Linked DNA regions of Struthio camelus. The protein of the gene in region 2 interacts with the protein of the main gene of each other region in a pairwise test. Links are inferred from orthologs where the notes say so. Each region holds a gene or a part of one and is shown on either strand. Other genes may lie near its edges.

Region 1 (7,905 bases), on a different chromosome or scaffold from region 2:
CGTACTGAAAAGGAAATCCTTGATTAAAACACCACTGGATAAGTTCATTTACATGAAAAAAAGTGTACTTTAGAAGCAAGAACTAGTACTTAAGTTAACTGGACCACTAGCACAGTGCTCCACACTTTTCCAGGAAAGCACTTGAACCACAATTTTTACAATCCTCAGTATTGAAAGAATAAGCTATTGAAAGAATTCTCTGCAGTGAATCGCTTTACATTGGTTCAGATTATATTGACTCCACAGCAGTCCCTACAGTCCTCTCTCCACACATCATCCTAACACACAACCAACTAGAATGTTGAAACCGCTTAGTAAAGCGTTTAGACGCTGTCTGAGCAGGAATTTAAGCAACTTTTTTCATAAGCAGCACAATTGACAAAGCCTGTTTTTTCAGGGTGGGTGAGATGATTTTTTGTTGTGGTTGTTTTTAATATATTTGTATCCCTACTGCCAATTAGCCATCCCTCCATCCATTAGGCAGTAATTCACAACTATCAAATCCCCTACAACGTCCCCTTTTTCTGTCCCAGTTATACCTTCCCACAATCTCGCATGGCCTTCCTTTTAATAATCTTTGCTCCTATTTCTCTGTTGTCTCCTATTTCACTACCCACTTCCACATTCCCAGAGTACAAAAGCTTGTTCAGAAGTGTATGTTAACTGGCTAGCAAAAAGAACAGAGAGATGTTCTATCTCTATCCATCTTCAGAGTTTTAGCTCTCCACACAACTGATTTTTCTGAAAGCTTTGTAACAAAACACTTTCAGAACTTCTGCTCCTCTCTCAGGATGCTTCTGAACCATTTCAAAGATGCGTATAGTATATACAGGGAGACCAAATACACAAACAGGTCAGAAAGATAATATTCACGTTTCACCTCCTTAGGGTATCAGGCAAAAATTACAAACAAGTTACAGCTGAACACCGGCATTTAACCATCTTCTCTCATGTACTTCAACTGTAAGACTCCATACCCATCTTTCTCCAGTGCAGCATTTCCTATCCGAACCTCAATAGTAAAAGCAAGTATTTACTTTCTGCGCAGGCAGCAGAACTCTCTGGGGTGCAGTATCATCAGCAGCAAGTGGATCCCTCTGACTTCTGTGCACTAAGTGAAATGTTACAGCTTTCTTCTTCTCTATGAAGGGCTTCTTCCTCCTGTGAGGCTGCAAAAAACATTTGGTTATGTTAATCGTTAATAAAAAACAAAATATAAAATGCATCCAAAAAGGATCTTTTGCCTGAAACATGCTCTATTAACATAAAGTCTTAAAACGTATACTTAGAGACAAAGCAAGAGACTAGCTGTATTTCGCTCAACTCTTCCGCCCACACGCAGAAGAGCATGAAGTTACTTCATGTGTTCCAATAGCACATGCAACCGTATTCAGCTGTAAAACGGCAATATACGAATATGAAACAAGTATTTGATTATGGCACATACTTAAAAAATCCCTTTGCAGGACTGTATGCTAAGATGTAACTGCTTTCTAAACACTGGGGCATATCTGAAACAAACTTCATCACAGAAACACAGGAAACCGATAGGCGCAAATTCATCTAGACAAACACAGCCTCTTGCAAATTGTTCAGATAGATGTTTCAATGCAATTTCTACGTATTCACCATCGACCCCAACAATTATCAACTACACCACTATGCAGATGTAACCTGAACACCACAAATACATTCACGTTCTGGATCAACAAAAATCTGCAGTTTTCTTACGTGGGTAAAAGCCCCTCCTACAAGTCAGCACATCTAACTGAAAGAAATACTTTTATCAAAATTTATAGCTTTGTTTACCTACTAGCATGTATTGATAGAAAATATATGTAACCTGAAGACTATCTTACTGATGTAACCTAATCTTCTTTTAACATATAAAACCTTACACACCATTTAACATCAAGGTCCTGAGCATATCAACTGCCAAAACGTATCTCTAGTTAAAGAAAAATATCCTATATCTTAAAATCTTAGGATAATCATAAAATGAGATGTAATCAGCTCTGGGAAGCAGACAACATATTACCCCTACGAACAAACTTTCTGCTGACTGGTGATACAAGTGAAGTGCTTATAAAACACTGACGTTGCAGGACATCAAGCAGGAAAACTAGACACCACCTCTTAATATTGGCCTATGGCAAACCCAGAAATCATTCCAGGAGCATGTGCTCGCCTCGTGCAGGCCTCAACCATTCCTAGGCAGGCGGCACAGGCCGCGGCACGCTGCCCCCTCCACCCCCGCCCACCTCCTCTTCAACACCACTCCGGGGGCCGCCGCACCCGCCCCTCCCGCAGGTCCGGAGCTCCGGGGCGCCCTGAACCCTTACAGGGCCGAGGAAAAAGCTTCCGCACAGCCCAGCCCAGCCCAGCAAGTGAGACGGTTCACCAGGCCTCCAAACCCCCAATTTCAACCCAAAACCATTGGGGGGGGAGGGGGTGAAAGTGGGGTAAGGGAGAGTGGGTGACGGTTACCGGCTGCAGGCGCCCTCTTCTGCCCCCCCCCCCCATCAGGGACAGGCAGCGCCCGGCTCCCCGCCGCAGGGGCGACCGACACAAGCCCCCCCTCCCCCGCAACGGCTGCAGCTCACCATGGCGCGAGGGCGGCCGGCGCTGCCCGCCGGCGGTGCTGGGCGCTGCTACCACACGGCCCGGCCGGGAACCGCCGCGGCGTCACCACGGCCGCGGCTGCCGCCTCCGCGTTGGGATAAAGCAGGGACCATGGGGGGAGGGGGGGGTAAGCCGACAGGCTGCCACGCCGGGCGGGTTGTTTTTTCGCAATCACGAGAACAGCAGGAGTTTTCTCGGGCTAAATAACTTTCAGAGTGAAAAAGAGGCTTTCTGAACGCGCAGAAGGAGCTCCTCCGCATCCGCGTTTTCTTCCCTCTCCCCCTCCCCAATTTGTGGAGAATGGTTCCGCCCGCCAGGGGACCGCAACGGCGGAACGCTTCGGTCGGGCCAAAGGGCAAGGTGCGTGCGCAGCCGCCGACCCCGCGCACCGGAAGGGGGAGGGCGGGGGGGCGGAGCTAGCTGGCAGGGAGGCGCGTGCCCCCCTCCCCGGCGGCGGCGGGGTGGCCGTTAGGGGCGTGGCCGGCGCGGGGCAGGAGGGGGCCGTTTCAGCCGTGTGTGGGGCTCTGCCCCCTGCGTGGCCGCCAGCGGCGGTTCCGTCCCGCCGGTGTCGCCTGGGCTCCTCCGGGGCGTGCGGGGCGGCTGGCACTGCGCTGTCCTGCTGGTCATCTTCTGCTCCGCCCGTCTCCCCCCCAACGGCAATAGCGAATCCTTCCCCCGCCCCCGCCCACGAACAAAATCCCCCGATGAATCCTGTGAAAAGGAGACTGGCTGCTTGGCATACCTGCCCTGTCCACGTGAAGGAGGTGAGAGAACAGAAAGGGTATGAAAAACTGAAGTCATTTCACTCCCGTCACTAAGTGGCGAGCGCTCAGGAACTACCATAAACCTTTATAAAGAAGCTATGTTAAGCAGAAGGCACAGGCAGGACTTGCCTTCCTGCCCAGCAGAAAGGGGGTCTTCAGCTAGCGGTGCTTCAGAGGTCCCTGCCACACAGTTTTCCAGTATTGCTCCAAGCTAGTTTATATTCAGGCCGAATTTGAAGGGTGAGGTGTAAATAAGAGCTATACGTATAATTTATGTATTTATATTATCAGTGTCCTTTCTCCTTATGTCACTAGATAAACTATCTGTGCCATATAGCATGCCCGCGGGCACACTTGTGCACAAACAAGTGCGGGCACAGACGCACACTCCTCGCTACGAAAAAATATGCTTGGCAGTTTAGACATATTAGGTAAAATTGTTTTGTTGCATTTCAGAAGAAATTGTAAGCTACAAAACGGGAGGAATTTCTTCTATGTGTGTATAGGCAATTACAAAAATTAAAAAAAGCTATTGAAAGAATTGTTATTGATATCTAAGAAATAATTATTTTTAAAATAACCGTTCCACATATTATGGTTGTATATCTGAACACCCAAATAAATGTGTATGTATACCTTAAAATAATAATGAGCTTGAATCATGTTTCAGTGAATGTCAGTATTTTTCACTAGGTGTCACTAAAGCTCCAAAAGACTACAGATTTTCGCTTTCCTGCTATTGTTTTCTGAAGTCTTGAAGCTTTAAGATGAGGTTCACCACGTTAATCTCACGGAAATGGATGAGCTAATCTGATCCGCTCCATGAATGACTTCTGTACTCGGGGGATTCAAATTATCCCTGCTTATTTCTGAGAAAAGCCTAGAGACTCCTTTTCTCTTGCGTCTTAAAAATATATGGTGGTCATCTTGTGGCGTTCAGCCACATGAAACTTTGATTCACGCCTCTCAGTCTGGAGGGTTAGCAACCCTTTGGTTGCATGCTATGAATAGATTTTTCAGGATTGCACTGAACAGGACTAACTCCCATCCTATAGTATGTCCATGGTGCAAAACCAGTGATAGAGCTGAGCTAGCTTTTAACTAGGCAACTTGGATAATGGGAGTGGAATAGTCAAACTGTTAAAAACATAGTGCTCAGCATTTCTCTGCCGGGTTACAAAGTAAATTAGTCCTTATTGCTTCCAGGTTCCTGAGCTAACTCTAGTATCCCTGCAGAACGCTGCATGGTGCAAAGTACTCGTCCCTTGACTCGGTAAGAGGATTGCCCCTCGTACTGAGAATTGGACAGCCTCCTACCCAACAGTAACAATACTTTCATACCCTATATTTAAAATCCGGTCTAGGAGTATTGGTCAGCCTGCAAGTTGGAAGAACTAGCTTTTGCTCTTAGCTTCCTTGCTAATCATCTGTTTCATTTGGGGCAAATTAAATTTACCTCTTCAGTGTTTTACAAGTCAAGGTTTTCTGTCTTAACTCATTTCCACACTGTGTCTTTCCTTTTTCGATTCCACGTGTTTAAGGGGAATAACCTTGGCTATATGTTTGCCCTGTGACTACAGGAAGAGGCTCCCTTATCTCAGAAGACTGATTCTGCATCTCAACCGTAATACATCTAGATATTAGTTTTAAAATTGTGAGATTAGCAGTAATAAACATCTTCCTGGTGTTTGATGTACCTCCTTTTTTGATACCTAAGGGTGATTCATCTACTTCCAACTGATGTCTGATCTTTCAAAATTCAGAGTTTAGTATCACCTGCATGTGAAATATGTATGCAGGAGTCTCTCAGATGGAGACTCCACTTAAACTTCTAGTCTCATCTAAGCCCTACAAGGTCATCTGTACTGGTGTACTCTCTCACTGTGTTCTCTGCTGAGATGCCTTGCAGTTTCAAGTCAACAAAGAGCATTTACAGAGGGTGGGGAGAAAAGGGGGTCAGCTCACTAACCACTTCTATTTCGTTTATGGAAGAAGAATGCTCAGTATCAGAATGGTCCCACCGCAGAGGGAGTATACTGTATACACAATAGTATACTGGAGCAATCCACAGAAATTATTTGTACGTTTAGCTGCCTTAATTACCAAATAGATGTTCAGAAGGCATTTGGTTTAAAAGCCAAAGCTTAACATTTATACTTCAATACTAAATAAGCAGGAAAAGAAGGCAAGCTTTTGTTCAAATATATTACTGTTCTTTCCAGAAAAGTGTTTAGTAATGTAGAATAAATGACATATCAATAACCCTAGCTTATGTTGCAATTTAAATTATCCTTGAGTAAATGTAGTAGACTTTCTGGACTTCATTCTCTCTGGATTTACTTCAGTTTAAAAGAGATTAGAATCTGGCCAGGAAGCCTAAATTTCTTTAACATTATCAACAATCTGCCTTCCTTTTGAGGAACCTTATGCTAAATATTTTTGCTATTAGTTCTTGCAATAACAGGAGGTATGGTTGGTTACATAACTACAAAGCGAAAGTTATTGCCAGTTACTTTGTCACGTTAAAAGATGGGCAGACATTCTGCAGACTAGTTCGAACCCTGAGCTGCGCGGATCAGTCTTGTCCATGTAAATGCAGTAGGTGTAATTCTAATTCAGTTCTCATGTCAATCACGTTATTCTGCTGAAGCTAGTGAAAACAACTGCTTGATTTACTAATACAGAACTTGTGAAGTTGGGAGCATAAACTAGGTCTCTGCACTATTGAGCTAGTACACTACGTATTTTTAACCTATCAGCACTTCAACACACCTCTGCATGAATAAGACCACCCCCAAGAGAGCTACTAGGTGTGTGTGAAGGGCTCCCAAGATGAAAAGGAAGGTTTCAGGATCCTTCCTTCATTTCATTTGCATGCAGTGACTTTGAATTCAATCTTTGGAGACCACCTTCCAACAAATAACTGCTCTCTGCAGTTTACTCCATCATACACACCCATGTACTTGCTACAGATTCAAGAAGGAAATGTTTTCTGTAAAGATTTTCTGAACAATTTTATTGAGGTAATTTTCTTCATTTTATATTTGTATATATTCATTCATATCTGTAATTCAAAAAGCTAAACAGTTTTCTAAGGCACTTGGAATTGTGCACAGCAGAGTATCCTACGGTACTGTACAACTAGGCAGTGCACATGTTTTGCTTGTTAAGTAAAAACATAAAACACAAGCATAATGTGTGTACTGCATAAAAAAGATAATGCATGTTCTTTTTCAGATGACAATACTGAAATATACTTGTGTGTGTGTGTGTATAAGTATATACCACAGTGCAGATAGCTGCTTCTTGGGTTTTTATCTCATTAATTTGTAACAATTACTGTAATTTACATTCACAGATATCCTGTGTAGAATGCAGTATCAGATCAGTCGCTTCTTTAAAGTTATCGTATTCAGTCACTCTAAGTCAAGTTACTAAGATACAAGTAGAGGCATTCATTTTATAATTATTATGCAAAATAAACACTGCATAAACTGAAAAGTTGAGGGTATTGATTCCCCAAAGCCTCACATCTTTTGAAAGTCATTTATGCATGTGGAAAGTGAGCTTTATAAACGCCAGCAATTCTAAGCTGGTAACATTTCACCTCCATTTGTTACAGTTATCAGTAACTATCTAGCATGATGGGCAGTGGGGAATCAAGTCATAAGCTTTGTTTACTTTATTTTACTCGTAAATATGAACGTTTATTGAAATTCAAGCAGGATACTTTGAGCACAATTTGTTTCTATTTTTTACCAAATTAATAAAAACGATAAAAGTCCAGGAACTGGCCCAGTGCCTATTGATAGCTGACACTTCATTATATACTGCAAAATAATTCCAATGAATCCAAGTTACAAAGGCAGAAAGACCAAAATTTAATTTCAGGTGACTATGGCCCCAATCCTTCTTTTAACAAATTCAGTGCATAAGCACCTCTTGACTTTACTGCACCCTAATAAAATCCCACTGGAGTTTAAGCACCAGGAACCTGTGGTGGTTGGATCATCAAGCCCTCCTTACTGGAGTCATCTCAGAGGTGTCCTTGCAGACTTGAGTGGGAGGAGTCATGTGCCCAAGGATTCTTAGTACTGAGCACCCATGGTGTATTTCAGCTCTGCCACAGAAAATACATGTTCTTTGAAGTCCAGTGTTTAAGGTACAGTTGGATCTATAAAATACGGCATATTAATACTGCTATGATTTACTGTTAGAGCAATTGTTCTGCACAGACCTGGAAAGGGACACAAACCTATCGGTTCCCAAATGTACAGAAATGTCATCTACAGTGCTCGAATACCTCTCCTACATTTACAATTCTGTTGTAAATTGAATTCAGCTTCTCTTTTAGAAAAAATATCTTAAGAGCTATTTTAATGGTGACAGGTAATTAGAATAGGCCACCTCTGCACCCTTCTTGCCCCTACTCATATATTTAGATGCCCATTCAAACAATCCATTGAGATCTTTTTTTTTAATTTGAAATCATACCAGCTGAAATAATTGTCCAAACCAC
Region 2 (7,691 bases):
CTCAGAGCAGATCCCTGCCTCCCCACCTCTTCCTGCTCACTCCATGGCCACAGGCTGCTGCCCTTCCACATCCCGTGTCTTGGAGTTCACCAGCTCCCTCCGGATCTCTGGCGAGATCTGTGGGTGGCAGTGGAATTTGAGCAGCTCGAGCAAGGCCTCTTTCTGCTCCGAGGACAGGTCCTCCTTGTAGCGCTGGGCGAAGGCCAGGAAGCTCTGGTGCCACAGGACAGGGAGGACCCGCTGGTCTGTGCGGAAGGCCAGGAAGTGGAAGACAAGCGCATCCACCACGCGGAAGGGCAGTGCATACTTCTTGTCAATGAGCAAGCGGAGGAAGATGCTGTTGGCACCGCTGTACTGCATCTCAGCAATCTTCAGCATGGCTGCGCTGTGGGGACGGAGGGAGCACCAAGGTGAGGGCAGGTGTGGCAGGGCCTCAGCACCTGCAGGCCAAGCAAGAGCTACGGGGCACCCGTGACGTGGACAGCTGAAGGCTCCCTTTCTCCCAGGTTAGCTTGTCCCTTGAGCCCTGCCCCAGTGGGTCCCAGACACACGGATGACAGCCCCAGCACTGCAGGAAGCCTTGAACCTCAGCCCTGCACAGACAAGGCAGAGCTGGGTGAAACCTTCTCTGTCTCCGAGAGGCCAGAGAGGCTTAGGGACAGATCCATTGCATCGCTCCGGCATCACAAAGGGAGAACCGTTCCCCCTGCCCATCCTTCCCAGTACCCCATGGCAGCAGGGCCCCACTGCCACGTTACCTGGAGTGAAGGACAGGGATAGAGCACTTGGTGAGGATGCTGCCGATGATGATGGCTTCCCGCAGCGTGCAGGTCCCCGACTCGCACAGGGGGATGAGGATCCCTGCCAGGGGCGGGGGGGAAAGTGTTAGACACTGCTGTCCTTAAACATAGCAGGCAGAGCTGCCTTCTCCTATCCCCGGATGCATCTGACTCCAGGAATTAGAGGATCCTCCATTGGTTTATGTTATGGGAGTTTCAATATCTCTTTCCACCCTCTTCTCCATGCATCTAGCACCAAACATCCTCAGGTTGCTAGACAATATGCAGATCAGGCCTAGGATAATTTGTAATGGGCTACTGACCTCCAAAAGAAACCAAGTATCTGCCAGTATCTGCTGGCAGCACCTGCGTAACCCGCCAGTACCCATTGCCCTTCAGCACAGAAGGGTGCAAATGGGCCCAAGGGGGTCTCTACATCTCTTTTGCTTCTTCTCTGCCCTCCTTCTTCCCACCAACCCCTTGGGCTGCTGCAGCCGTGACAGAAGTCATCGCACCACACACAGCATGGTGTGCTGTTACAAGGCAAGTGTGCAACACATGCCCCTGCTGAGCTTCCCAGCTGCTGTATGGCTGCAAGGCTCCTATGTACAAACCATCACCCTGTGGGAAGTCTCTACCTTTGAACCAGGCTCCTGGCTTGAACAAAGCCTTCTTCAAAGCCATGTAGAGGTGAAAGTTGAGACGCTTGTACTCGGCGATGTCATCCCTGACCCGAGGCAGCAGTACCAGGTTGTAGAACCTCTGGGCCATCCTTTCTTTCAGGTTGGATGAAAATATCCTGGGAAGAGCGAAGCACAAAGCAAGCTGTGATCTGTCTGTCTCTGGAGAGAGGTCCTGGGAGTGTGTAACTGCAGGCAGTACCTGAGCCAGGGCATCAGCTATGAGATCCCCATGACTCCCTCCACCTTGGCATGCAAAGGAACAGGAAAGCAGGACACAGACTGGCATTTTGCGTATCTGGTATTCGCTTGTGGAAAGATGAAGCGAATAATAAAAAAAAAAAATCAGTAATTCCCAGACACAATTCTACCTGGTTGCTTGGTACATGGCAGCTGCTGTCCATGTCTCTGGCTCTGTGATGTACAGGATCTGCTCCCAGTTGGATAAGGCAGGAATGATTTTAAATGCCTTGGGGAGTTTGCCACTCCTGTATTTGGACAGCACCTTAAAAAAAAACAAAAAAAGGAATGGATGCAAGCCTGGCAGTGATATAGTGGAACTGACAGCAGGACCATGGGGATTCGTCAGGATTTGTTTCATGACCTTGAGATTCAGTCATTCAGAAACACTCTGGGGTCTTCAGTGAATGACACTATGTAAATCGCAGTTAATTTATTTTGAAGAGAAAGAGCACACCCAGGGAAGCACTGTCTGGGCCGTGCTAACTAATCACACCACCCTCCCATTTCTGGTGTGGGGTTTCTCTCGGGCTTCCCAGGGTGTCTCACTGCAAGGAGATTAGCAACTTTGCTCATGAAAATGCCAATTTACCCCCAGCTGAGCTTCTCTCCTTGAACACGTCCTGATCGCTGTACTTACTACCAGCGAAGGGAAAGGGGGGCTCGGCAGCGATCGCTGCCAGGTGAGCGCTACGGGCTGTAGCAGAACAGCCTCTGAGGCAGCCTCGCCGCCGGGCCCCCGCGCAGAGCGGAGCCGCCTCGGCCTTACTTCTCGGACGCCCCTGTAGACCTCCAGGACGCGGGGGTCGAGCTGAGGCATGGGGCAACCCGTTATCTCCGACATCGCCGTCTCCACCTCCGTCTGCTTCTCCGTGATCTTCTCCATGATGATGTCCGCCAGCGTGCGCCTGGGGCCGGGACGAAGGGAAGCGAGAGTGAGTCAAGCGTCGGTCCCCGGCCCCCGGCCCGGCGCCCCGCCGGCCCCCGGCCCACCTCAGCGGCGGGTTCCTGCTCATGAACATCTCGATGGCCTTCTCGTCCTCGGGGTCCACGGCCACCTCCTGGCACCACCGCCCCGCCGCGGCCTGCTCCAGCGAGGGCCACTCTTCCTCCTCCTCCTCCGCCGCCGCCTCCTCCTCCTCGCTGTCCGGGCCGGGCGGCGCGGGGCCTGCGTGAAACGGGGCCGGGTCAGCGCGGGGCAAGGCCGGACCCCCCCCCCCCGGCCTCCCCCCGACCCCGCCTCGGGGCTCACCCAGGGCAGCGGCGGGCGCGCCGGGGCCGTGCTCGGCCTCCAGCTCCTCCTGCTGCCGCCGCGCCTGCTCCAGGATCCGCCGCGACAGCCGCGAGTCCACGTAGCCGCCATCATCATCGCCACCCGCCGCGCCGCGCCGCTTCACGCGCGCCGTGGGCCGCGGCGCCGCCGCCCGCAGGATCTGCTCGGCCAGCGGCGGCGCCCGCTCGCGGGGCCCTGCCCGGGCCGGGGCCTTCGGCATGATGGCGGCGGCGGCGGCGGGGGAGCGAGGCCGGGCCGGGAGGGCGCGCGCGGCGCCGCAGGCACCACGTCACACGCCGCCTCACGCCCCGCACGTCACTTCCGCCCCGCCCGCGGCCCCCGCGCGGCAGCGGCGCTGCCGGGGCCGCCGCCGCCGCGCGCCATGGGCGTCACGTGGTAAGGATGGCGGGGGGGGGGAGGGGGGCGCGAGGCGGTTCCCCCTCTCCCCTCCACCGTGGGTGCCGTCTCGGGGGGCTGCGGCGGACGGTTCCCCCGTGGGTGCTGGCCGGGGGGCAACTGCATGTTCCCTCCCCCGTGGGTGCTCTCGTTGCGGGGGTTGCGGTGTTCCTTCCTCCTCCCGTGGGCCCCGTCACGGGGAGGCCGCAGCGGGAGCTGTCCCCCCCCCTTCCGTGGGCCCCGTCACGGGGAGGCCGCAGCGGAGGGTGTCCCCCCCCTTCCGTGGGCCTCGTCACGGGGAGGCCGCAGCGGAGGGTGTCCCCCCCCTTCCGTGGGCCCCGTCACGGGGAGGCCGCAGCGGAGGGTGTCCCCCCCCTTCCGTGGGCCCCGTCACGGGGAGGCCGCAGCGGAGGGTGTCCCCCCCCCTTCCGTGGGCCCCGTCACGGGGAGGCCGCAGCGGGAGCTGTCCCCCCCCCTTCCATGGGCCCCGTCACGGGGAGGCTGTGGCAGATGGCCCCCCCCCAGCGTGGGTGCTGTCACGGGGGGACACCGTGGCCCTCCCCCCGTCCCGGGTGCCGTTAACCCCCTGGCTCGGGGCCGTGGCGGCCAGGCCGGGTCCCCGGGCTCGCAGGCGCCGCTGACGCCTCCCCCCGCAGCGTGGCGCAGGTGCCCGTGGCCGAGGGCAAGAGCGTCCAGCAGACGGTCGAAATGCTGACGAGGAAGCTGGAGCTGCTGGGGGCGGAGAAGCAGGGGACGTTTTGCGTGGACTGCGAGACCTACCACACCGCCGCCTCCACCATGGGCAACCAAGGTCAGGGCCGGCCCCCCGCTGCCGCCACCCCCGGGCATGCCCCGCAGCTGCGGTCCCCCGGAGACCGGTCGCGGTAAAAGGGAGGGAGGTGGTTGCAGGCTCTCATCCAGTGCCAGCTCGGAGGCTTCTCTTCTCCCGTGAGCGTTTCTCGGTCTTTCATCTCGTGCCCAGCGTGCTGGTAGCGAAATCCGGCTGCAGTAACAGCGAGGTCCCTTGTGGAACAAGCGCGTGCTACGTGCGAGATCGCCGCTCTGCCCTGCAATTGAGGTTTCTTCCACAAGTCAGCATCATTTTATTTATTGTGTTGAGCTCTTGTGGGGAACGGGCAGTTGCCTGGCTGCTTGTAAAAGCTTTTTTCTACCTTGAAAGATTCATACCGCAGTTCACCTCTTCCCCTCTCAGATGAATAGCTTTGGGAAACATAGCGCCCCTGCGCATCGTCCCCAGAGAGCCGGGGAAGGTCATTCCGACAGCTCCGCTGGCCCCGCGGCTGGGTGCTGCGTGCCGTGGGCTGCCCTGGAACAGACATGTTGAATGACTAAACGCGCCGTTCCACTTGGGAGCCTGTTGTGTCTCACTAATGCTGTTTTCTCTGTTACACACATGCCCCACGGTTGTCCTTTCCTGCACTGAGGATAGCTGTGTTGTGTCAGCGCTTAAGGATTCTTAACTGGAATATCAGCAGCTGTGTAGGATCTCTCTTTTGTGCGTGTGAAATAAGATAAGTGGTCAAAAACCAGCTGCCAGTTTGGCAGTGTTTTTTTCCCTAAGGCTTCTTAAAGCGTTACTGTTGGTGACTTGTTTTGGAGGCTGCGTTTTGCACAGCAGCTAAGTTACAGGAGTCTCCTGAGAGCAACTTGTTGCTGTCACCTGCTCTGCCCTTCTTCTCCAGGAGGGTGAGCGATCGAGGGCAGGAGGTGGTAGCAGAGAAGAAAGCAGGCTCCCCAGGGCAGGCAGGCGGTGGTGAGCAGCTCTAGGGGAATTTCTGAGGTGTGAAATGACCCAGTCGTGGCCGGGGGATGTGCTTGGAGGACCTGGCATTCCCTCTGGACATCACAGGGCCTAACGGGAGAGCTGAAAGACGTGACTTAATCTGCTCACTTGGGGGGACTGTGCTCCCCTCCTTTTCCCTCCCAAGCATGTGGCTTTTAACAGCATTTAAAAACCAGTGTGAACATCCCTCCAGTGTTTCTGCGGCTGCAGAGGTCAGCACTGAGCCCTTCCAGCCTCACCGCTCTTCCCAGGCAGATTGGTGCAGCTGGGGTGCTGCTTCAGCTGCCCTGCTGTCGGGTTTTGCGGATGTGTCTGCAGGTTTGAAGCTATGAGAGGGGCTTTTTGCTGGAGCTGGAACTGGAACTTGCACAATCACATCTGTTGAGAGGCTTTTTTAACCAACACAGATAAATGAGAATCCTCTTCCACTTCTGAATCACTGTACAAGCTAGGCACATCCTCTCTGGATGTCCTGTTTTCCAGAATGTGCCCAGGCACCTCCTTCCTTTGCTAGCTCTGTGGGGCTGGTCAGCGACTGGGAGATGAGGCAAAACCCAGCTTTTCTCCCTTTACTGCAGGGCTGAAGAGGACAGCCCCATGTTCTGGGAGGGGAGCAGGTGCTCTTTGCTGACCCTCTCATCCTGCTGGAGATCTAACATCCAAGTCTGGCCCTTGAGTTGCACTGCCGTCTTGTCCCTGGGCAAGGAGTGGCTGCATGAGATTTTTTTTTCCTTTAGTTTTAAACCCTAAGAGGGAAATATAACCTATCTCCGGAACACTCAGAAAACGTAAAGTGTGTGAGACTAATACAAGGATCCTAGAATTGAAGCAGCAAGGAAAACAAAGGGAAAGCAAAGAGATGTTTCTTTCTTAAAAGCACATACAAGCACAGGACTGTTGTTTCTGCAGCCCATATATCATTGCTCTTGTTTCAGGGCAGACAGGCAAGCTGATGTATGTGATGCACAACTCTGAATATCCCCTCAGCTGTTTCGCTCTCTTTGAAAATGGTCCCTGCCTCATAGCAGATGCCAACTTTGATATCCTTATGGTGAAGCTGAAAGGCTTCTTCCAAAATGCCAAGGCGAACAAGATAGAGAGCCGGGGAACCCGCTACCAGTACTGTGACTTCTTGGTGAAGGTGGGCACGGTTACAATGGGGCCCAGTGCCCGTGGGATATCTGTGGAGGTAAGGATTGTCTTTGATTGATATAAAATACAACTACAGATAGAGAAATCTCATATTAGATGCTAGACTAGAAATCTTGAGCCCCTCTTCCTTCCATGTATTGACTGCTTGGCCTGCAGGCCAGCCTCTCAAATGTGAACTTGTATACTAGTTGCTGTTAGTTTGTACTAGATGTATTCGTGTATGTGCAAGGAGTATTTATTGCCTTTTCAAGGCAAGGTTTAATTCAGGCAGATACTCTGGGGCTCAGCTGCAGCTGTGGAAGAGCCTGTCATTGAAGTGTCAATAAACAAAGCCCTGAAGGGATGCCATCAAACTAAAAAGCTGCTTAAAGTCCTGACGCACGACACTAGTAGCACGCTTCAGGTTATTAAACATACCAAGGGGGACAAAACAATCTCTTTAGCTGATAATTTAATGCTGATTTGGGTTTTGCTTTCTTTCCCCATCTTGAGCAGAAAATGGCTGGGCTTAGGCATCCCAGTGGAGAGCACGGTCCTCCTGCCCTAGGTTCTGCACGCACATGGCATAAAGATGGCGTCTCCTCTTCAGAGAGCTTTGCGTTGCAGGCGTCAGTCCTACCCCATGGCTGACCTGGATTGCTGCACTGTGGGGTGCAGTGTGGGCACAAAGCCTGTCATCAAACAGCTTCCGCTGTTTCTGCTCAGCAGCCTGACTGTTGATTAGGCTTGAGAGCACCAGTTGTTTCGTGCCAGCTGCAGGGCGATCCTTCAGTACAGATGAAGGGTCACAGGAGGAGCTATGAAGTCATTTGGGGAGACAGTTGGCTGAATGGATGTGCAACTCAAAGGCTTACGAGCCATGGACGAGCCTCACCTGGGCTGAAAAGGCTCTCAGAATAAGACAAGAAGCTGGTCTGTGCTGCTGTGGGAAGGGTAAGGCAGAGTAGGTCAGACTCAAGATATCTAGATACATTAAAGCCTAACACTCTTTAAGATAGCTGAGAATTAGATGCTTAAAGGTCAAAGAGCTGAGCTTATGCCTTTCTAAACACAAATCCTATTACCTGATACGTAATTAATAATCACACTGAACCTACTCAGGCAGGTGTTACTAGCCAGCAGTGATGGGGATTGAGAAATGTGTTTTTTCTTTTTTCCCCTTCAGTTGAGTAAACACAAACATTGTAATAGTGTCAGCATTCCTGTTAATCTGGGGTTAAGCAGAAGTTTGTTTTACTCTAAACTTTTAGAGTTCAGGACCAGATTTGCCAGATGGTCTGGTTGCTTCCGTTTTGATTTAGTAGTTTTTTTTTCAGGGCTTGCATTAGGACCCACTCCTGATTTGGGACCAGACTCCTCTCTAATAA

The links. The genes of interacting proteins can lie anywhere in the genome.
Region 1: the proteins of BYSL (region 2) and LTV1 interact in binary tests that used the Homo sapiens proteins (3 or more experiments, as listed by UniProt). The two-hybrid records come from large-scale screens. The link is inferred for Struthio camelus from reciprocal best matches to the Homo sapiens genes BYSL and LTV1.

What each region holds. Positions count from the first base shown.
Region 1 is NC_090944.1:77,174,191-77,182,095, reverse strand, and holds the start of LTV1 (protein LTV1 homolog), read right to left. Parts: upstream 3,255-7,905; 5' UTR 2,607-3,254; coding exon 2,604-2,606; intron 1,170-2,603; coding exon 1,038-1,169; intron 1-1,037. UniProt on the Homo sapiens protein: Essential for ribosome biogenesis.
Region 2 is NC_090965.1:6,381,614-6,389,304, reverse strand, and holds the start of BYSL (bystin), read right to left. Parts: upstream 3,220-7,691; 5' UTR 3,193-3,219; coding exon 2,952-3,192; intron 2,868-2,951; coding exon 2,693-2,867; intron 2,608-2,692; coding exon 2,469-2,607; intron 1,965-2,468; coding exon 1,831-1,964; intron 1,579-1,830; coding exon 1,418-1,578; intron 862-1,417; coding exon 759-861; intron 386-758; coding exon 37-385; 3' UTR 1-36. Other genes in the region: MED20 (mediator of RNA polymerase II transcription subunit 20), read left to right, coding at 3,355-3,368, 4,025-4,179, 6,108-6,361. UniProt on the Homo sapiens protein: Required for processing of 20S pre-rRNA precursor and biogenesis of 40S ribosomal subunits. May be required for trophinin-dependent regulation of cell adhesion during implantation of human embryos.